Saccharomyces cerevisiae S288C: one gene and its partner. The gene in region 2 interacts genetically with the main gene of each other region. Each region holds a gene or a part of one and is shown on either strand. Other genes may lie near its edges.

Evidence for each region. Genes that interact genetically often act in the same process or in processes that back each other up.
Region 1: mutations in ERR1 (region 2) and LEU3 together harm fitness more than expected from each alone (negative genetic interaction), as found in Saccharomyces cerevisiae (2 studies listed by BioGRID).

What each region holds. Positions count from the first base shown.
Region 1 is NC_001144.5:1,034,279-1,039,817, forward strand, and holds LEU3 (leucine-responsive transcriptional regulator LEU3), read left to right. Parts: upstream 1-1,814; coding exon 1,815-4,475; downstream 4,476-5,539. Other genes in the region: hydroxymethylglutaryl-CoA reductase (NADPH) HMG2, read left to right, coding at 1-1,486; GTPase-activating protein SST2, read right to left, coding at 4,992-5,539. UniProt on the Saccharomyces cerevisiae protein: Factor for control of RNA levels of a group of leucine-specific genes.
Region 2 is NC_001147.6:1,078,053-1,082,624, reverse strand, and holds ERR1 (phosphopyruvate hydratase ERR1), read right to left. Parts: upstream 2,350-4,572; coding exon 1,036-2,349; downstream 1-1,035. Other genes in the region: HSP33 (glutathione-independent methylglyoxalase family protein), read left to right, coding at 3,367-4,080.

The DNA.
Region 1 (5,539 bases), on a different chromosome or scaffold from region 2:
TTCAGAAACTCGAAGTATGCCTGCTTCTTCTGGCCTAGAAACTCCAGTGACCGCGAAAGATATAATTATCTCTGAAGAAATCCAGAATAACGAATGCGTCTATGCTTTGAGTTCCCAGGACGAGCCTATCCGTCCTTTATCGAATTTAGTGGAACTTATGGAGAAAGAACAATTAAAGAACATGAATAATACTGAGGTTTCGAATCTTGTCGTCAACGGTAAACTGCCATTATATTCCTTAGAGAAAAAATTAGAGGACACAACTCGTGCGGTTTTAGTTAGGAGAAAGGCACTTTCAACTTTGGCTGAATCGCCAATTTTAGTTTCCGAAAAATTGCCCTTCAGAAATTATGATTATGATCGCGTTTTTGGAGCTTGCTGTGAAAATGTCATCGGCTATATGCCAATACCAGTTGGTGTAATTGGTCCATTAATTATTGATGGAACATCTTATCACATACCAATGGCAACCACGGAAGGTTGTTTAGTGGCTTCAGCTATGCGTGGTTGCAAAGCCATCAATGCTGGTGGTGGTGCAACAACTGTTTTAACCAAAGATGGTATGACTAGAGGCCCAGTCGTTCGTTTCCCTACTTTAATAAGATCTGGTGCCTGCAAGATATGGTTAGACTCGGAAGAGGGACAAAATTCAATTAAAAAAGCTTTTAATTCTACATCAAGGTTTGCACGTTTGCAACATATTCAAACCTGTCTAGCAGGCGATTTGCTTTTTATGAGATTTCGGACAACTACCGGTGACGCAATGGGTATGAACATGATATCGAAAGGTGTCGAATACTCTTTGAAACAAATGGTAGAAGAATATGGTTGGGAAGATATGGAAGTTGTCTCCGTATCTGGTAACTATTGTACTGATAAGAAACCTGCCGCAATCAATTGGATTGAAGGTCGTGGTAAAAGTGTCGTAGCTGAAGCTACTATTCCTGGTGATGTCGTAAAAAGTGTTTTAAAGAGCGATGTTTCCGCTTTAGTTGAATTAAATATATCCAAGAACTTGGTTGGATCCGCAATGGCTGGATCTGTTGGTGGTTTCAACGCGCACGCAGCTAATTTGGTCACTGCACTTTTCTTGGCATTAGGCCAAGATCCTGCGCAGAACGTCGAAAGTTCCAACTGTATAACTTTGATGAAGGAAGTTGATGGTGATTTAAGGATCTCTGTTTCCATGCCATCTATTGAAGTTGGTACGATTGGCGGGGGTACTGTTCTGGAGCCTCAGGGCGCCATGCTTGATCTTCTCGGCGTTCGTGGTCCTCACCCCACTGAACCTGGAGCAAATGCTAGGCAATTAGCTAGAATAATCGCGTGTGCTGTCTTGGCTGGTGAACTGTCTCTGTGCTCCGCACTTGCTGCCGGTCACCTGGTACAAAGCCATATGACTCACAACCGTAAAACAAACAAAGCCAATGAACTGCCACAACCAAGTAACAAAGGGCCCCCCTGTAAAACCTCAGCATTATTATAACTCTTGTAGTTTACATGGTGATACTTTATATCTTTGTATTGTCTAGCTATTCTAAATCATCTGCATGTAATAAGAAGTTGATCAAAATGACTCGCTGCGTAAAACCTCTCTTCGATCGGAGGTGCCGCCTAATTTATCGCCTAGCACTGCGCTTTTTCAAAGTTTTTCAGAGCAAAAAATGAAAAGTAATGAGCACAACAATAGAAGAGTATCATGATATATAAGGTCATAAAACTAGGTTTCAGGGGCTATCGGCAATTTGAGGAACCTTCAACCTGCCTCAAGTAAAAATCGCTTCGTAACATTAATACAAATTCTTTTTGCAATTATGGAAGGAAGATCAGATTTTGTGGCGACTTCACAGTCCGGAAGTGAAATGAGCCATAGTGAAACTAGGAATAGAACTGGGATGAATGCTAGGAAAAGGAAATTCGCCTGTGTGGAATGTCGTCAGCAGAAGTCGAAATGTGATGCTCACGAAAGAGCACCGGAGCCATGCACTAAGTGTGCTAAAAAGAATGTCCCATGCATTTTAAAACGAGATTTCAGAAGAACTTATAAAAGAGCAAGGAACGAAGCCATTGAAAAAAGATTCAAGGAACTCACCAGAACTTTGACAAATTTAACTTCGGATGAAATTTTGAAGAAAATTGAAGAGGAACAGGAAATTGTTTTGGATAACAGTAATTTCACAAAAGAAAAAGTAAAACAACTCAGGAAGAGTGCTTTTGAGACGACAGAAATAGAACCGAGATCATACAAAACACTTCGAGGAGAACCTATTTCTTACAGTACCAACAGAAGACATACGGATTCTTCTCCTTTAACGCTCTTAAGCTCGTCGACAAACTTCGACCCTGTTCACTCAACAAACGTTATGACAGATGATCAACTTAAGTGCTTGCCAAAAAGCCTGGGCGACGTATATTTGTCAAGCAGCGATATTGCTGAGCTGTTTCAAGAATTTGCGACAAAATATCATCAATTTTTACCCGTCGTTGACCTTTCGAAAGGAGCAGAGCGAATTTATCACTTATCTCCTTGCTTATTCTGGGTCATCCTGCTCATTGGTTTAAGGCGGAAATTTGGGGCTACAGACTTAATGACTCGATTATCAGTGCTAGTAAAGTCAGTTTTATCAGAAATCACAATATCTCCAATAATTCGATATACTCCATCAGATAAGGACGAACCCGTTCTAAATGTAGCATCTGTATATTCCGTGCAAGCATTTCTTTTATACACGTTCTGGCCTCCCTTAACCTCTTCATTAAGCGCCGACACTTCGTGGAATACCATAGGAACAGCGATGTTCCAAGCGCTTCGGGTAGGACTAAATTGTGCAGGTTTTTCAAAAGAGTATGCTTCGGCAAATTCAGAATTAGTTAACGAGCAAATACGAACTTGGATTTGCTGCAATGTTGTATCTCAAACAGTTGCATCATCATTTGGTTTCCCAGCTTATGTTTCATTTGATTATTTAGTAATCAGCTCTATTAGAGTACCAAATTCAAAAAGCCAAGTAGATATACCCAATGAACTAAGACAAATGGCTCAAATTGCTAGATTTGAGAACCAAATCGTAAACACAATGAACTCCACCCCGGCGAGTGTTACTGGGATGGTAAGTCAGGAAGAGAAGCAGCCCTTGTTACACGTTCTTAATCAACAACTAAGTCAATTGGAGATTAGTCTTGAAGAAAATAACCTAGATGATATCCGAAAATTTTTATTACTAGTGGCCAAGGTTCACTTATTAACCTATTACTTCACTGATGTTACCTCCCAAAGTGCTGGAAAATCAAATGGTAATATTTATGAGGGATCATATTCCATTATGGAACTCGATACAAGTTTTGAAACGAAACGTGGATTGGTGAAAGTTTATAATGCCGCCGTAAACTTTCTTATACATGCCAATAGTATGTGGGAACATGATCCTACCATTATTAAGTACTTTCCTGGTTTGTTTGTCTTGAATATATGGCAATCTGCCTGTATTATTAGTAAACTCATACATTCATCACTTCATTCAATGCTAGATGTTAACTCAGGCAAAAAAGCTTATAACAACGCAATTTCATTGACGTTTAATGCCTCAGTTTTAAAATATGATATGGCGTACAGATCATCCGGAATAATGCGAAGCATATGGAGTTTATTTGCTAATATGTATGATGCCTGGAAAAACGACCAAAAGGAAGGTGGAGGTAGACTAAATAATGATTTCAATTTAGGCATCACCATAAAATCTAGGATGTCAGTAAACGTTTTTTTTGACTGCTTATATATTCTAAAAGAGAAATGTGGTATGGCCAAATTGGAGAGAGAGACCAAGGTTTCTACAGCTTACAATGTTGATGAAGAGGAAGAGGAAGATGAAGATGAGGAGGGAGAAGAAGAAGAAGAAGAAGAAGAACTAAGTAGTAAAGTTCCAGAAAATATGGATAGCCAGCAACTAAGGACAAGGAAATTCACCAATGTAAGGCATCCAGAAAAGAAAGCAAGAAAAATAATTGAAACAATTCCGCTAGACCCAAATCCAATAAATGCAGGCTCTACCAGCAGTGGAAGCTCATTAACGACCCCAAATAGTCAAGTAGCGAACACTATATCATATAGAGGAATCCTCAATAAAATGTCACCTAGGGAACAACTGAATCATGCAAATTTAGATTCCAGTGTTTCTACAGACATCAAGGACACTGAAGCTGTCAATGAACCTCTGCCAATAGGGAGGAATGCTGAACATCCGGCAAATCAACCGCCTCTTTCAATAACACAAATGCAAGAAAACACACTACCTGCGACACAAGCCAACTCTTCTCTATTAGAAACGTATCCCATTGTTCAATCAAACCCCGTTACAACTACAATCAAAGAATCACCCAATTCCATCATGGCAGGTTGGGATAACTGGGAATCTGATATGGTTTGGAGGGATGTTGATATTTTAATGAATGAATTTGCGTTCAATCCCAAGGTTTAAAGTCCTTTTCTTTTTTTGCGTAATGTTTACTTACCCTCGAAAAAATGTTATGTAATGACTGCGGTGCTACAGGAGAGGTAAATGATTTTCTATATACGTTTATATTTCTTCCATTTACGCACACTATTTTTTGTCCTTGAATAATTTAACTCAAAAAAAGTGTAAAAAACTGTGTCATTAGGTATATGTTCAATACTTTTGATCTTCAAATGACGTAAAAAAAAGTTTTCAGACGGACTTAAACCGCCAACCAGCCTTGGCCACAGGTGTATGATGCGAAGATTCGTAAGCGCTCACGTTAGTCACATCTCAGGATTGGAAATTATACTAGATAATAAATGGCTTTATTTAATCATATTATAGTTGATATAACAAATCACACCTCCGCTTAATTTATACGTAATAGTATTTACAGTCCTTATGGGTATCAAGACATATTAGGTTAGGAGAACTAAAGAAAAAAAAAAGGACTGTTTGTGCAATTGTACCTGAAGATGAGTAAGACTCTCAATGAAATTAGCACTTTTCTTGGATTTCTATTAAAGCGCTAGCATCTTTGTATACGTCTGACTGGGTAAATTTTTGAAAGGAATCGTTATTCATCAGTCTATACATTTCATTGCTAACGATCTCGAAGAGGGGATATAATTTCCTGAGGACCTTCAAAGTTGCTGGAAATGATTCAACCGATTTGGTATCATTTTGGGTGTTGTCCATGCCATAACGAACAATTGTATGTGAATTTTCTACTGATGCATTAGGCGAATGCGTTTCTGCCAGAGTTAACGGGGCAGGTTTATATTCCTTTAACTGATGTTTGAATCCTTGCTTCTTAAATGAACAGTTTTCATTTGAAAGATTTTTTGAAGGTTTTAGACTCACTTCAGGTGGTTCACCTAACGTGTCAGCCTCCGTTGAGCTAATTGATGAAGCTGCTGATTCCGCGGATGCAGGTGATGGATCGTATAGATTAGTAGGAAAGTGTTCCGATAATGGAGAATGAGGGTGCAACATGATGTCAGAAATATTCTGACGCAAGTTATGATGGATATTTAATTGATATG
Region 2 (4,572 bases):
ATGTTTTTGTTTTTAAACGAGGCATGCATCTTTATAGATTCTGTATGCGAAGGTATTGTTTTCTGGGGCCTTTGTCTATTCGTATGCGCCGAATGTGAGAATGCCAGTTATAGGGGTGCCGAGGTGCCTTATAAAACCCTTTTCCGTGCCTGTGATACTTCCTTTTTTGGTATAGCAGAATGTCTGAATTTAGTTGCTATAGATCCTCGTTCAGAAGCGTATTGCTAAGCCTATCTCCAGTATACCCTAAACGATCGCCGAGAAAAAATAATACTGTACCCTCCTATTTCCCGGAATTGTACAGAATAGTAGGTATGTGCTGGGAGTCGTATATTGTTAGAGTCTGTAATTTTTACGCGCGCCTAGTGGATTCGTTGATACGATTACGTTATTCTAAACCGTCGCAAAGCAAATTGTGTTGAAGTAATTCAAGACTTTAAATCACTTGTACCAAAATCATTGTTGCGAAAACTTATCCTCAGTATTAGTTTCTTGACCGTAACAGTAGTTGAAAAAAATAAAATCATTTCTATGATCGATACACTTTCATTATTTAACTTCTCTATTATGGTGTAACTTCTTACTTTTGTCAGAAAAAAAGATTTCAAGACACAACAAGAATGGGGTCAAAGGTCTGCTTGTACTATCAGGAAGATTTGATACCAACCGCGTTATAAGGGTTACTAGAAAGTAATAGCTGCTAAAAAATTTAAACCGAAGAGATTAATCAGAAAGCTGAAAAACTGCAGTGTTAGTAGAGTTGTAAGCATTTCTTGATTGGAACAGCCTTCCCCCACACGTCCACCCTTGTTCAGACAGATTCGTAATGATTTTGTGTGTAGGCAATGGAAAACTTTAAAAACGGTTTGATTTCCTACAAGATAAAACATATGAATAAAATAACTTGTGTCAAATGCCCCATTTCCATACTGTAACCCAAATCAACGAAATAAAAAATAAAACCTCATATGATTTACTTTATTTAGTCATAAAAAAACAAAAAAAAAAAAAAAAAAAAGGAAACAAGACAATCCTTTATAGTTTGTTTCCATCATGAAACCTATGACCAGCATATATACAATCGTCCCCCAGTTCCTCTTCGATACGCAAAAGTTCATTATACTTGGCCAGTCTTTCTGATCTCGACAAAGCGCCCGATTTAATTTGACCACATCTTAAACCAACGACCAAATCAGCGATAAACGGATCTTCGGTTTCACCTGATCTATGCGATATCATTACACCCCATCCAGCATCGAAAGCCTGATTGGCGGCTTCAATAGACTCAGTCAGAGTACCGATCTGGTTGAGTTTCAGCAACAGAGTATTCGCACATTTCTCCTCTATAGCACGGGCGATCCTGGTCTTGTTGGTGCATGTCAGGTCATCTGCAATAATCTGAACATTGACAGTCTTTAGGAAGGCAGACCACGAGGACCAATCATCTTCGGCGTAGGGATCTTCCAGGGAAATGATTGGGTATTTCTTTAGCAATGAATGGTAATATTCTGCTAACTGGGCTGGACTGAGCCAGTGAGATGGGTCAGAGTTCGGTTCCTTGAAATTTAGGTCGTATTTCCCGTCCTTATAAAAAACAGAAGGAGCACTATCGATTCCTACTTTCACTCTACCCTCGTAACCGCATATGTTAATGGCTTCCACAATCATGTCCAAGGCGTCTTCGGCAGTGTCAATATCGGGGGCAACTCCACCCTCGTCACCAACATTTCCAGCGGAAGGTCCATATTGCTCCTTCGCCAATATCTTCAAATGATGGTAAACTTCCGAACCCATCCTCATGGCTTCTGCAAAGCTCTGAGCCCCGACTGGCGCGATCTTGAATTCTTGCATAGCTAAAGAGCCACCGGCGTGGGCTCCACCATTCAAAACATTGAAAAAAGGAACAGGAATAACAAAGGGGTCCTGTCTAGCATCCGCTAACTCGGCTATATACTTGTAGAGAGTAATTCCCTTTTGTGCGGCAGCAGCTCGAGCAACGCACAAGGAAACACCAAGGATAGCATTGGCGCCCAACCTTGACTTGTTAGAAGTTCCGTCTAACGATATCATGAGCTCGTCTATGCCCTTCTGATTGGTTACACATAATTCGGACTTGATTAAAGCAGGCCCTATGATACTATTGACGTTACTGACTGCCTTGGTCACCCCTTTTCCCATCCATTCGGACTTGTTCCCGTCTCTAAGTTCAACAGCTTCGTGAATGCCGGTGGAGGCACCAGATGGGACGATCGCTCTGAAGAGACCATTCTCTGTTGTAATTTCAACCTCAACAGTCGGATTGCCGCGAGAATCATACACCGTTCTAGCATGTACCTTCGTGATGGACATATTTTTATCGTTGAGATTCGATTTTTTCCTCACCTTGTTTTGGTATTTCTATTGCAAGACAAAGTGAAAGAAGAAGAAGTGGTGGTAAAAAATAACTATATATAATGAAAATTGTAACCTGGTGGGAGTGCAAACTGTAAGTGATAACCTGCCAGATCCATGTTTCTATTATATACCTAAGAACCAGCCAAGTTAGGTAAACGAGGAGTCTTTCAATATCTCTTTTCTAGTGAGAATGTTATTTAGGTAAATGAACAAGTTACCACTATACTACTCACCCCCTACACTTTGTTTGTGACCTCTCCCCTTATCCAGTTCATCGAAACTTTTTTTTCAACTTGTGGCGATCTGTGACATTGTCTACTACAAGAACCGATTTTGGTTGATGTCTGTAAAAAAAACAACCTTACCTTTCCAGATCCAACTTTCCAGGAGAGCTGCGTGAGTTTCAAATATTTACCATGTCGGAGAAAGCTCCCAAGTACTTCCTTGTTCTTGTCATTTTTTCCTTATCTCCATCCTTTAAGGAAGGTATTTCCATTATGCGATTCTATAAATCCGAGCATGCGAGTATTTCTTTTCTTGGCGCGGAGTCGCTGATGACGCAATAGGCACATTCACGAACATCCAGGACTGGTAATCTTCTCGTCTTAAAGAAAATCCAACCACCAGTAAGAAACTCTTGGGTAAAATGGGGTATCTGAAATATTGCATAGCTGCAAATGAAGATATTCAGTATCAGCATAGGTATTTTTATGGAGGATAGGTAAAGAGAAAGAAAAAAAAAAATATCTTTCTGACTGTCGTTCTTGCAATTATCACAATTAGGGGACTTTAAAACCGATACTTGATATATGAGCACAGTCAAGGGGTCGGTTCTTGAGATTTTAATGGAAAACAGGAAAGTTGCACATACAGGTCTGCTTTTCTTTGCTTGCTCCAGACAACGATACTTAGAACTAAAACATATTTCTAGAACACTTTTCTCCTTCATTCAAAAAGAAAACTGGCCTTGCAATGACTCCAAAAAGAGCGCTAATATCTCTTACTTCATACCACGGTCCCTTCTACAAAGATGGTGCGAAAACAGGCGTTTTTGTAGTTGAGATTTTGCGATCGTTCGATACATTCGAAAAGCATGGTTTCGAAGTGGACTTCGTTTCTGAGACTGGTGGATTTGGCTGGGATGAACATTACTTGCCAAAGAGCTTTATTGGTGGCGAAGATAAGATGAACTTTGAAACGAAAAATTCCGCCTTCAATAAGGCGTTAGCGAGGATCAAGACCGCAAATGAAGTCAACGCCAGCGACTATAAAGTATTCTTTGCATCTGCTGGACATGGTGCTCTATTTGACTATCCCAAAGCTAAAAATCTGCAAGATATTGCATCCAAGATATATGCCAATGGGGGTGTGATCGCTGCCATCTGTCATGGACCGCTCCTTTTCGATGGATTAATAGATATCAAAACAACAAGACCATTAATCGAAGGCAAAGCTATAACAGGTTTCCCACTCGAGGGTGAAATCGCCCTGGGAGTTGACGACATCTTGAGGAGCAGAAAATTGACAACGGTTGAACGCGTTGCAAACAAGAATGGAGCCAAGTACTTGGCGCCAATCCATCCCTGGGATGACTACTCTATTACAGATGGAAAGCTAGTTACGGGTGTTAACGCAAATTCTTCCTATTCGACCACAATTAGAGCTATAAACGCATTATATAGCTGAAACAAAAGACAAGGGAATTGTTGAAGGGGAGGCTTTTAATGACTTTCAGTTTCTGTGAAGAGAAGGCTAACAGCTCAATGGTTCGAAAGGTAAAGAAAACGGCAGGTCGGTAGCACTCGATTTTGCTAGAATGGAAATCATATAGAGAACAATTGAATAGTAGGCCTTGGTTTTTAGTGTTGTATTCATCATGGTCATATGTGACATAGGTAATGTACATATATATATAAAAAAAAAAAAAAGCAATGCTGTGAGATCATTCGTTACTTACGAAATACGCAGATTGCAATTTGAAATAAGCTGTGTTTTCTTTTTTTTCCTTTTTTTTTCTTTTTTTTGGCTTGTTATATACAACTTTTTTCTATTTCTGTTCTTTTTATGAGTAATTAATTGGTACATGGGAAATAAATATGAATTATATTAAATGAAGTAAAAGTAAAAGAAAACGGGGAAATTTATCGTTTTGTAGTAAATAGATGATGGAACGCATTC